3 linked regions of the Cricetulus griseus genome follow. The protein of the gene in region 1 interacts with the protein of each later gene in a pairwise test. Links are inferred from orthologs where the notes say so. Each region holds a gene or a part of one and is shown on either strand. Other genes may lie near its edges.

Region 1 (3,654 bases):
AAAAAAATGTGTAAATGTGAACTCAGTCCATGGGAGGCTGAGGCAGAGAGATTGTAAGTTGGGCCTGTTTAGACTGCACAGTAAGATTTTGTTTTTTAAAAAACAAAATAGCTGAACATGGTGGCATATGTCTCTGTACTCTCCGCACTTGGTGGTGGGGTGTGGAGGCAGGAAGAGTTCAAGGCCCGCTTTGACTACATAGCAAGTTTGAGGGCAGATTGGGTTGCATTATATGCTGTCTCAAAAAACTAAAGGATGCCAGGTGTGGAGAGAGAGAGAGAAAGAATAAATAGTAAGTCAAATAACATGAAAAGAGCCCACTATACTGCTGGAAGCTCACTCGAAACTTCCAGTGCAAAGCCTTTTGCATTTAGAGAGGGGAGCACAGTGTTAACTGCATGCTTCCACATCTGTTAGGGTTTAGTTGAGACGACTCCTAGATCTGAAATCACATCTCTAGAAGATTGAACTAGACCACATTTGAAACTTCCCATTGCATCTGTCACAGCTTTTAAAAGACTGGCAAAGTGGCCGGGCGGTGGTGGCACAAGCCTTTAGTCCCAGCACTCGGGAGGCAGAGGCAGGTGGATCTCTGTGAGTTCCAGATCAGCCTGGTCTACAAGAACTAGTTCCAGGACAGCCTCCAAAGCCACAGAGAAACCCTGTGGGGGGGGGGGGGATGGGGGGATGGGGTGGGCAAAGCATCACCTGCACTTAACAGTGGGCCCTAGCTGAACCCCGAATCCCTTCAGTGTGCTCAGAACATTTGCACAGCTAAGCCTGCTTTATGATAAAAGTACTGAGCAACTTGTGTGACTTATTGGATACTGTACTAAAAATGAAAAATGATGACTGAAACGGTATACTTCATATGAGGGGAACTGTTCCGTCAAAGCATTGAAAGTCGGGGGTTGTGTTACTTTAAGTAGGAAAAGGTAATCTCCCTTCTCCTTGGTGTTATTTGCTAAAATAATAGCGTGTTGTGTTTTTTAGGTAAATGTTGCAGATTTTCAAGAGAATCAGTGGGTGACATGTTTCCAGGAGTCTGCGGAGGCTATCCTTGGGCAGAACACTGCATACCTTGGGGAACTGAAAGAGAAGGTTGGCACTTGTTTATTAGCACTGTGATAGTGCTTGTGTTATGCCACTGAGCTGTTGTTGCTTGCTTCTTTGGGTGTTGTATATGAGTCCTCGTTGTACTGCGTGTCTAGCAAAGGGTAATGCTACAGGAGAATAAAGCAGCTGTATGCAGAAGCCACACCACCCTTGTCCCCACTACCCTTTTTACACATCAGAGCTGGTGTGCCTGCAGTCTAGAGCTGCAAGGTGTCTTCTGAAATAACTTGTCGGTGTGCTTTGTTAACCAATAAACACTTTTTAGAATCGTTGAGTCAGATCTTAGAATAGTGCACATCTGGGGTACTTGCAATTTCAGGCTGTCAGATGGGGTTCTTACAAAGTGACTTTGTATTAAAGTCACTTTACATGCTATGGTGATGCTCCCTGCCTGTTGTCCTAGTACTTGGGCTGAGGCAGGAGGATCACCCAGAGTTCCAGGCCAAGCTAGTTTACATAGTGAGTTCAGGGCTAGCCTGGACTGTATAGCAAGACCGTGTGTGTGTGTGTGTGTGTGTGTGTGTGTGTGTGTGTGTGTGTGTGTGTGTGTGTGTGTGTGTGTGTGTGTGTGTGTGTGTGTGTGTGTGTGTGTGTGTGTGTGTGTGTGTGTGTGTGTGTGTGTGTGTGTGTGTGTGTGTGTGTGTGTGTGTGTGTGTGCGCGCGTGTGTGTGCGCGTGCGTGCATGTATGTGTTGGGACTCTTGAGATGACTGGAACCCACATTTTTAAAATTACTAATTTCACCTTTACTAATTTGCCTTTTTATACATTAAGAGAATGGGTTGCCGTGCGTTGGTGGCACATGCCTTTAATCCCAGCACTCAGGTGGATCTCTGTGAGTTCGAGACCAACCTGGTCTACAAGAGCTAGTTCCAGGACAGCCTCCAAAGCCACAGAGAAACTGTCTCGAAAAACCAAAAAAAAAAAAGAGAGAGAGAGAGAGAATGGATTACTGATTATGCCAAATATAAGAAAAAGACACTTGGTGAGTTAAAACCAAGAATAGTAAGAGCCGTACTTTCTAGGCCATGGAAACTGACATCTATCGACATACAGTGTCCTTTTTTCCCCCCATTCCTCCATATTGGTTATATACTTACAAAGGCCACAAAGAAGAATTGCCATTTGTTTTGATGTGCTTTTCTTACTCTTTCTGTCCTCAGTTCTGTTTGGTTCTGCCCTCAACTCCTTTTTAAATTATCCATGAGGTCCCTGAAAATAGTCCCACAACGTCCTTTTACAGAAATAACTGGAATTGACTTTTAAAGTGCAATCGTCTTTTATCTCTTTTGCCTGGTCCTCTATTTTCATATCAGATTTGCAGGCTCCGGGCAGCCTTTCAGGATTTTTATGAGCTTATTATAGTTGACTGTTCTTAGCTGGTGAATGAGGGCATACAGGACTCCCCTCAGGAACCATGGTGCTCTGGGAGTGTGCATCCATGCTTCCCTTAGCTCTAAAGAGTAATGGCATCCAGTTTCAAGGTTTGAAGATTTAGCACATTATTTTGTTTATATATTGAAAATCCAAGGAATGACTTTTCTCAAATAAAAGAAGTCTGGGTGATAAGTCTGTTTTCATACCCGTGTGACCTACAGGGGTACTTAGCCTATATGAATTATTAGTTTTATGTAAAGTTTTAAGTTCATGCATTTTATGCCTCAGCAGTCTGAGGCAGGAGGAAGCCAAGTTAAAGACCAACTGGGCACCTTAATGAACATTGTCTCAAAAGTTAAAAATAGAAGAGGGGGGGCTGGAGAGATGGCTCAGAGGTTAAGAGCACTGACTACTCTTCCAGAGGTCCTGAGTTCAATTCCCAGCAACCACATGGTGGCTCACAACCATCTGTAATGAGATATGGTGCCCTCTTCTGGCATGCAAGCATAGATGGAGGCAGAATGTTGTATACATAATAAATAAATAAATCTTAAAAAAAAGAGAGAGAGGGCTGAGTATCCCAGTTTATCACCCACCACACCCCCAAACTAAAAGCCAGCTTTTTTAAAACTTACAATAAAGTAACTAAATCAGATAGCATCTGAGGAGTGTGAGAAAAGGAAGGCATCTTCCGGCCTTTTCCTGGCACTGCCCACTCCATCCACTCATCTACCTGCTCAGCATGTCAGGAGCTACAGATACAGAGGCTCCAGGATTAAGCTCACTCTGTAGCCCAGGCCAGCCTATGTAGCTGGTGCTGGCTTCATGCTCACTGTAATCCTCTTGCCTTAGCCTCCAGAAGACTGGGATTACAGATATGGCCACTTTGCCTAGCTTACACCAGACTTTTCCAATTATTTTAGGTTTTTTTGTTTGTTTGTTTTTTTAACTAATTTTTTTTTTTTAATTTGAGACTATGTAGCCCTGGAACTCACAGAGATCTTCCTGCCTCTGCCTCTCTAGTGCTGGCCTTAAAAGCTGCACCAGGCCCAGCCCTACTAAGTTTTATTTTATTTGTTTTGGTTTTCGGGGCAGGGTTTCTCTGTAATGGTCCTGGCTCCCATGGAACTCTCTTTGTAGACCAGGCTGGCCTCAAACTCAC
Region 2 (4,230 bases), on another chromosome or scaffold:
GTAGAACAAAAACATCTTCAGAAACCGCAAAATCAGTTATTTGCCTCAGCCTGAAATTTTAAGGTACTCACTATCCGAGGTGGCAGAGATGCGTTGTGTGGAAATCAGATGCTCGATAGCTTGAGTGACAGCTTCATCGGTAAGTGCATGGAGGTCTCTTCGCAGCTCACTAATAGCCTTCCCTTCCTGGTGAGGACATTCTTGAATCAGACGCAGCACCTCCAAATGGATGAAATTAAGACTAGCTGCCTTAGCAACCCTGGCGGCGGCTGCTCGGGCTCGGGCTTCTTCCAAGAGGTGCCTTCCTGTGGACACACCTTCACGACTTTGATCCAGCATCATGTGGGCATTGACGACCTCCAAGGTGTGTGTGGACAGCTCATTCATATCTTCCAGGACACGGATGCTTAGAACCCCAAGCCGTCTGGTTCCCTCCGAGGACTGGAGGACACCAAGCACTTTGGCATACACGCCAACTGGCAGGGGAATCACACATTGCCTGACCCTCTCGCGCGACAGGGGCTGCCTGGCCTCGATGGCCTTTGCGGTCATGTCATCAATCTTGTACATCATGTACCGCGAAGCTTTCTTGGCCTCCATGATCATCCCCACGATAGAGACCCGGTGAAGTGCAAAGCCCCTGATCTTAAACACGTTGTCAACCTCAACAGCAGTAAGCAACTGGCTTATGCAGCAAGGCACAATGCTGTGAATGCCAGGCCTGGTCAAGGTGGTCATGGGAAGACCCAGGTCCTGACCTCCAGCTTGCTCATCACTGCCGCTTGCCCTGTTAGCCCCATCATCATCAACAAAGCTATCATTACTCCCAAACCCACTCTTACTCATCATCTTTTGAAGTCTTGGCAGGATTTGATGGCTCGACAGCAAGAGGTGTTCGCTCACAGGCTGCACAGAAACTCGCTTGTCGACGGTCTCTCGAATCTCAGCAAGATGGCACCTCCAACCTCGGACTAGAGCTAATGCAGAATGCCAACGCCTCAAGACCTTACTGAACAGCCAATCAGCTACCAGATGAGGACCCAACATTCTCGCGAGATTACAAAGCCCTCCTCCGCATGTTTTTGGTTGCTATGCAGAATTCTAAAAATAGAAAGCGTGCCAACTGTCCAGCCACTGTAATACATACACTCGCGAGATTTGAGGATGGAGGATCTCCAAGAGCTTGATGCCCACCTGGTTCACACAGTTCGAGAACAGCCTGAGCTAAACTACACAGGGGGACCTTGCCTCAAATTAAAATATATATATATGTATATATATATATATATATATATATATATATATATGTATATATATATATATGTATATGTATATATATATATGTATATATATATATACATATATATATATATGTTCTTAACCCCCCCAAGTATGTAATATCAAGCACTGTCTGCTATCTTTATAAAGTTGCATTTGAAGTAGGGAAAATATGTACTACGCACTCCATTATTGAATGCCACAATTGGGAGGGGGGTTCTGTTTTATTTTTATTCCTGTGTGTGTGTGTGTGTGTGTGTGTGTGTGTGTGTGTGTGTGTGTGTGTGTGCATCTGTGCAGGTGTGTGTGTGTGTGTGTGTGTGTGTGTGTGTGTGTGTGTGTGTGTGCATCTGTACAGATATGTGCCCAAAATCCCAGAGGACAGTTAGGGTCATATCCATACCTGGCTGTGGTGGCTTAGCACTGCGGAGGCCACAGCAGAAGGGTTACTTAACATTCAAACACAGCCTGAAAGATGTTGTTAGTTCCAGGCTGGCCTGGCCTACAAATTTGAGATGGTACAAAATAAAAAAATAATAGAGATCTCAAATCTTTTCGTGAGATCACTAAATCTTAAAAGCATGCCATTTTAGAAATAGCAAGATAGCAACAACTAAAAAATGCTTCTAACCTAAAGCAAGTCACATCTTAACACTGTCTTTATTATGAAATTATAACTTTCAAATTTTATCAAAAATATGACTCTAAATAACAAATATATCGAATTTATACCTGATTCCACCTAAATGACTGAGATTTAAATTATTTTCAGTGCTTTATGAACTAGATATCAGTCTGAAAAATATAAGGGAAACACTAATAAAATTACATTGTCTTTATATACTCATTTTAGTAAATTCTGAACTCAAAACGGTGATAATTTAGCATGTAGATCACAGAATGATTCAATATTACATTGAAATCTATTTTTTTCATAAGACATTATTTGGGATATTACTAATTTTAAAGCCTGTTATTGTCAATAAAGAATTATTATTCAAACCCATTGCTATCAAAAACTTGCCTCTTTATAAACATCTGTAAGATAGTTTAATGAATGTATAAAATAGTAAGGAATTAATTAATAGTCTCCATTTCTTTATTTGTTTAAAAGTAGTTTGAGCTATCTCAAAGTTACAAAAATGTGTGTGTATGTTTGTGTGTAACGTGGTCTATGTAAAATTTAAATATAATATGAAATTATATACATACGTATAATCACAAGTGTAAAAGGAATAAAATTTTAAACCAATGTAATTAATGTGTTTCGCAAATATATAACAATTTTCTTGGTAAACAAATAGACTAATATGCAAATGTAAATATTTAGCTTCTAGATTTAACTCCTTCTCAAAAAGGAAATAACTATTAAACAATTACCTATATTTTAAAATCATACATGAGTAAAGATCAAAATAGCTAAACAGATGTTTTTAAACATTTAGAACTTGATAATCAGACAATGCTCTTCTATTAGATGATAATACACTTCTGAACAGAAAAATCATGAGGTTAAAGTAACATATCTGATTATACGAAATATCTATATACAATACAAAATGTATGAATCCTATAAAAATGATAAGAACTGCCTACCTGACAGGATTGCTGGTTAAGGAAACCCTCAGAGATTCCAGACAGTTGAGAAGTTTCTCATCTGAGATACCTGATTTCAATTCATGAACATATTCTTGTGAAGACAGGGTGCATTCATGCTTGCTGTTTTTCAGGCCACCCTATCAAACAAATAGAACATGTCATTTTAAAGAGGTGTCAAGGGTTTTTTTTTTAAATCTTGCAAGTAAAACATAGACTATATTAATAACATTATGACATTTTTCAAACAAAGTATGTTTCAATAATCTTTTCTCCTAAGCAACATTAAAATCTAATGCTTTGAATACCAATTTAAAAAATTAAAGGAATTTTAATTACAAGAATAAAGATTATATCAATATTTTACTTTGTGTGAGTGCTATGCCACCTCACTCTTTTGTTTCAATACTCTACCTCCATGTTAAATTCCCAGACCAACAATTCTTCAAAGACCTGAGTGGGAAGACTATTGTGTAGGATACATTCTCCTCAGCCCTTTAAAAGAGAATTATACTAGCTGGTGTTCACAGACTGAAAAGAAACCTGATGTGAGTAGCAAAAAGTATTATTGACAGGGTTATTTAAACTTATATTCCAAGTATTAGGATTTATGCTAACTGTTTCCCTCAATTCAAAATATAAACATTGTTAGATCATCTTATTAATTTTGTAGTTGACAGTTAACATTTATATTCAGTTATATGTACCACAGAAAATAATATTTTTTTGGTTTTTTGAGACAGGGTTTCTCTGTATAGCTTTGGAGCCTATACTGGCACTTGCTCAGGAGACTAGGCTGGCCTTGAACTCACAGAGATCTGCCTACCTCTGCCTCCCAAAATCAAATCTTTTAACATTCTCATTATAGGAATAAAGAAGTCAGCGGAGTATTGTGATGCACCTCCCATACCAGCCCTTGGGAAGCAGAGGCATGTGGATCTCTGAGTTCAAGGCCAGCCTGGTTTACATAGTAAGTTCTAAGACAGCCAAGACTACACATTAAAACAGGTAGATTCTGGGGAATAGGTAACGGCATAATTAGTGAGGTTTCAGAACTAAATTATAAATATTTTGAACTTCCAATGATTCATTTATCCGTTCTATGCCACTTTCCCCAATGTTGAATAAAAAATTGAAGCAACAGGAATATAAGTCTGAAATTTCTATTTGAAAAATGTCAAAGTGTGTATCTTCAGCATAATCAATATGGCACAACATAGTATTAAAGAAATAACCCTGAAACAAAACAGTGTGATAGATTAAACTAAATCTCACTGTACTTAATAGAGCTGTAATACAAGAACGGCTTATTATTAACATCCGGATCTGATACTGAACAAAGGCAACAACTAGATA
Region 3 (3,654 bases), on another chromosome or scaffold:
TTGCCCCAGCACTGTTTTTTTTAAAATTATTATAACAACTAGACTGACTGTGCCATTCCTTTTTGCTTGTTTAATATAAAGAAACAATAAACTGGAAAGAAGACTGGGGAAGAGTCCCATCCCCAGCACCCAAATCCAAAATTATGTGAGAATGGACATTCTGGGAGCAGGCTGTGGATATATCATTATGTATTATCTATATTATATATGTACATATATGCACACAAATATGATTACTATAGATTGCATTCTGAATTGTTAAGTACAGGAAAAATTAGTAGCAATGCTATGCTATTAAACTGAGGAATTGGTGGAGGGAAGCATGATTCCTTTGCTTAACAACTGTTTATGTGTAGACCCTGTTGATACATGCTCTGAACTGAGCAGTCCCCAGAACTCTTGCCTGGATCTGTTATCCCAGAGGAATGTACCCAAATGTTCCTGAGAACATTTAGCATCTGTGTGTGTGTGTGTATGTGTGTGTGTGTGTGTGTGTGTGCGCGCGCGCACGCATGTGAGTGTATATGTGAGTGAGTGTGAGTGTGTGTGTGAGTGTGTGTGCATGTGTTTGTGTGTGCATGTGACTGTGTGTGTGCATGTGAGTGTACATGTGAGTGTCCATGTGTGCATGTGAGTGTACATGTGAGTGAGTGTTCATGTGTGCATGTGAGTGTACATGTGAGTGAGTGTTCATGTGTGCATGTGAGTATTCATTTGTGCATGTGAGTGTGTGTGCATGTGAGTGTGTGTTCATGTGAGTGTTTGTGTGTGCATGTGAGTGTGTGTGCATGTGAGTGCACATGTGTGTGAGTGTTCCTGTGTGTGTGTGTGTATACGGCACACGAGTGGAAGTCAGAAGACAGCTTGCAGAAGTCTGTTCTCTCCTTCCATTGTATGAATCCTCAGTGTTGAACTCAGGTCATCAGGCTTAGCAGCAAGCACCTTCACTCACTGAGTCATCTACTTTGCCCCAAGTCTGGTTTTAATTATGTAAATATGCAGTACAGGCCTACAATTTTTTCTATTAATTTCTCTATTTTTCTGCAGATGAACATTTTCCCCCTACTAACAACTATTTTTAAGTGTTCTATTGATTAAACATGACATAATAGTTTATTTACTTATAAGATTAGTGGGTATAAAAATGATGTATTTTCTCCATAGGTATAATGAAGCTTTTAGTCATTTTTGAACATTTGTTAAATTCCTTTTTTGTTTAATCAACATTACTTAATTTTTGAGATTTATTTTTATTTTATGTATATGGGTGTTTTGCCTGCCTGCATCTATGGGCACCACATGTGTGCAGTGCCTGATGTGGCCAGAGAGGGAGACAAATCCCTTGTAATGAAGTCACAGATGGTTGTGAGACACCATGTGGGTGCTGGGAACTCAACCTCAGTTCTCTGCAAGAGCAGCAATTCCTCTTAACTGCTGAGCCTTTCTCCAGCCCTGATATTGTTTGTTTAATAAGTAGTCATTGAAATTTCAGTGCATTTATAACAGTGAAATGGAAAAGAAATCTTAAAACTGAGTTCTTTTTATCTCCCTACGACACGTAGATTGATAGAGTATTACAATTGGCAGGGACTCAAGTGCTCACTCAGTTGTGCTGTCATCATGGAGATGAGGACCCTGGGCTGAGAGACAGCACCACATCTCTGACCAAGAGGCTAATAGCGTGAAGGTGCTTGTCAGCTGAGCGTAGATCTCCTGTCCCTGTTTAGACTGATTTACTCTGATCTCTCATCATAGGTCACGGACCACCCTGGGAAAGAAGAATTTTGCTCACCTCCTTACACTCATTATGAGGTCCCCCCCACTTTCTATCGCTCTGCCATGCTCCTTAAGCCCCAGTTGGGACTGGGTGCAATGTCACGTCTCCCATCCACCAAGAGCAGGATTCTGATTGCAAGTCAGAGGTCTTCAGCAAGTGCCATCCATCCACCCGGACCGATAACAACAGCTGCCAGTTTCTACGGTTCTGATCCTTCAGGTAATTAAGTCTAACAACTGCTCTCTTTTCCTGGTACACATATAAATATCAACTATAAAATATTGTGAGTATCTACTTATGAACGACTCTGATTGGTAAAAGAAGCCTTTCCCCAACCCCCCATCTGTCTGGAGACACAGATGTTTTTGAGAACTCACCTGATGCAGCTGTCATCTTCCATGCCACCTTCACAGCCGTGGCCGCTGTTATCACCTCCTGGCTTCTTCCAATTTCTCCCTTCTTTAAAACTCCTGTAGACTCAGAAGACTTGCTCTGAAGGTTAGTTTTATTTTTGGGGGGAAGAGAGTATCGATGAGGGCTTGTCTAGATAGGTTAGCCTGTGTGTATGTCTGTGGGAGATTATCTTCATTATGTGAGTGGATCTGGGAAGTCCCAGCCCACTGTGGGCAGCTCCATTACCTGGGCTCAGGGTCCTGGACTGTATAGGATGACTGCCAACTGGGTTCTGCTTATTTTATATTCTTGAAATAATATTAGTATTTACATTTTTGTGAACAACAAACTGCATATTATCCTTAGGACAACTGATTTGAAATGAATTATTGTGTAAAAGTATACTTAAATGTTAAAAAAGCATTTATTATCTTTTTTATTTTGTGTGTATAACTATTTGCCTGAATGTATGTGTACCACCTGCATGAAGTATCCACTGAGGCCAGCAGAGGGCCTCAGATTCTCCTGGAACGGGCGTTAACAGAACATTGTGAGTTGTCAATGTGGATGCTGGGAATCGAACCCTTGTCTTTTGGAAAACCAACAAGTTCTTTTAACCTCTGCCCCATCTTCCCTCCCCTGTTTGGACTTTGTTTTCTTAAGTCCAACTAATTTTCTAGGAAATTTATAGCAGTTATTTTTCTTGGATGTTCCATATACTTGATTATTTTGGGGTTTTACCATTTTATTTTTGAGCCAAGTCTCATATGTAGCCCTGACTGGCCTAGAACTCACTCTACACACCAAACTGGACTCACCTTACTCCTGTGTCAGCCTCCTGAGTGGTGGGATTACAGATGTGAGTCACCATGCGCAGTGACCATTGCCATTATTGTTGGACAGAAATGTTTTCATCTCTTTGCTGTTTATTACTTTGTGAATTGTCATGACTCAGAGAGTTACTTCTTCTTCTTCTTCTTTTTTTTTTTTTAATAAGCTTCTGCCTTGGTAGTTTCCATGATAGCTGTATATCTTAGTGGGAATACCTGTACTTAGAGCAGGTACTAGTCCACTGTAATTCAGTCAGTAGGCAATTGTTTCTGGTAAGCATTTCAGTGCTGATCCTGGTGTGGTGACAATGCAATTAACACACAAAAACATCCTGCCTTCAGGGAGCTTAAATTTTAAAATATGGGGCTGACTTGTTAAAAAAAAAAAAGAAGTCAGTAAGTTACACTGTCAGTTGCGATAAATAAGCAGTGCTGAAGAAAACGAAACGTTGGTGAAGGAGGAAGAAGGGGGTTTGTGCAGGAAGGGATTCTTGTTTGAACAGAGTGATCAGGAAGGCCTTCCCAAGAAAGTGTCCTGTAAGTCAATCTCAAGGGAAGATGAGGGAGGGATCCTGGTCGGTGTCTGTACTGTTACCTTCCAGGCAGAGGGAGGAGCTTTCCAGGCAGAGGGAGGAGCTTTCCAAGCAGAGGGAG

What was found.
Region 2: the proteins of Rpa1 (region 1) and replication protein A 30 kDa subunit-like interact in binary tests that used the Homo sapiens proteins (3 or more experiments, as listed by UniProt). The link is inferred for Cricetulus griseus from reciprocal best matches to the Homo sapiens genes RPA1 and RPA4.
Region 3: the proteins of Rpa1 (region 1) and Mtus2 interact in binary tests that used the Homo sapiens proteins (3 or more experiments, as listed by UniProt). The two-hybrid records come from large-scale screens. The link is inferred for Cricetulus griseus from reciprocal best matches to the Homo sapiens genes RPA1 and MTUS2.

The regions. Positions count from the first base shown.
Region 1 is NC_048600.1:88,753,398-88,757,051, reverse strand, and holds part of Rpa1 (replication protein A 70 kDa DNA-binding subunit), read left to right. Parts: intron 1-993; coding exon 994-1,101; intron 1,102-3,654. UniProt on the Homo sapiens protein: As part of the heterotrimeric replication protein A complex (RPA/RP-A), binds and stabilizes single-stranded DNA intermediates that form during DNA replication or upon DNA stress.
Region 2 is NC_048604.1:49,771,008-49,775,237, forward strand, and holds the start of replication protein A 30 kDa subunit-like, read right to left. Parts: upstream 2,875-4,230; intron 1,102-2,874; 5' UTR 1,048-1,101; coding exon 46-1,047; 3' UTR 1-45.
Region 3 is NC_048597.1:83,941,399-83,945,052, forward strand, and holds part of Mtus2 (microtubule-associated tumor suppressor candidate 2), read left to right. Parts: intron 1-1,755; coding exon 1,756-1,996; intron 1,997-3,654. UniProt on the Homo sapiens protein: Binds microtubules. Together with MAPRE1 may target the microtubule depolymerase KIF2C to the plus-end of microtubules. May regulate the dynamics of microtubules at their growing distal tip.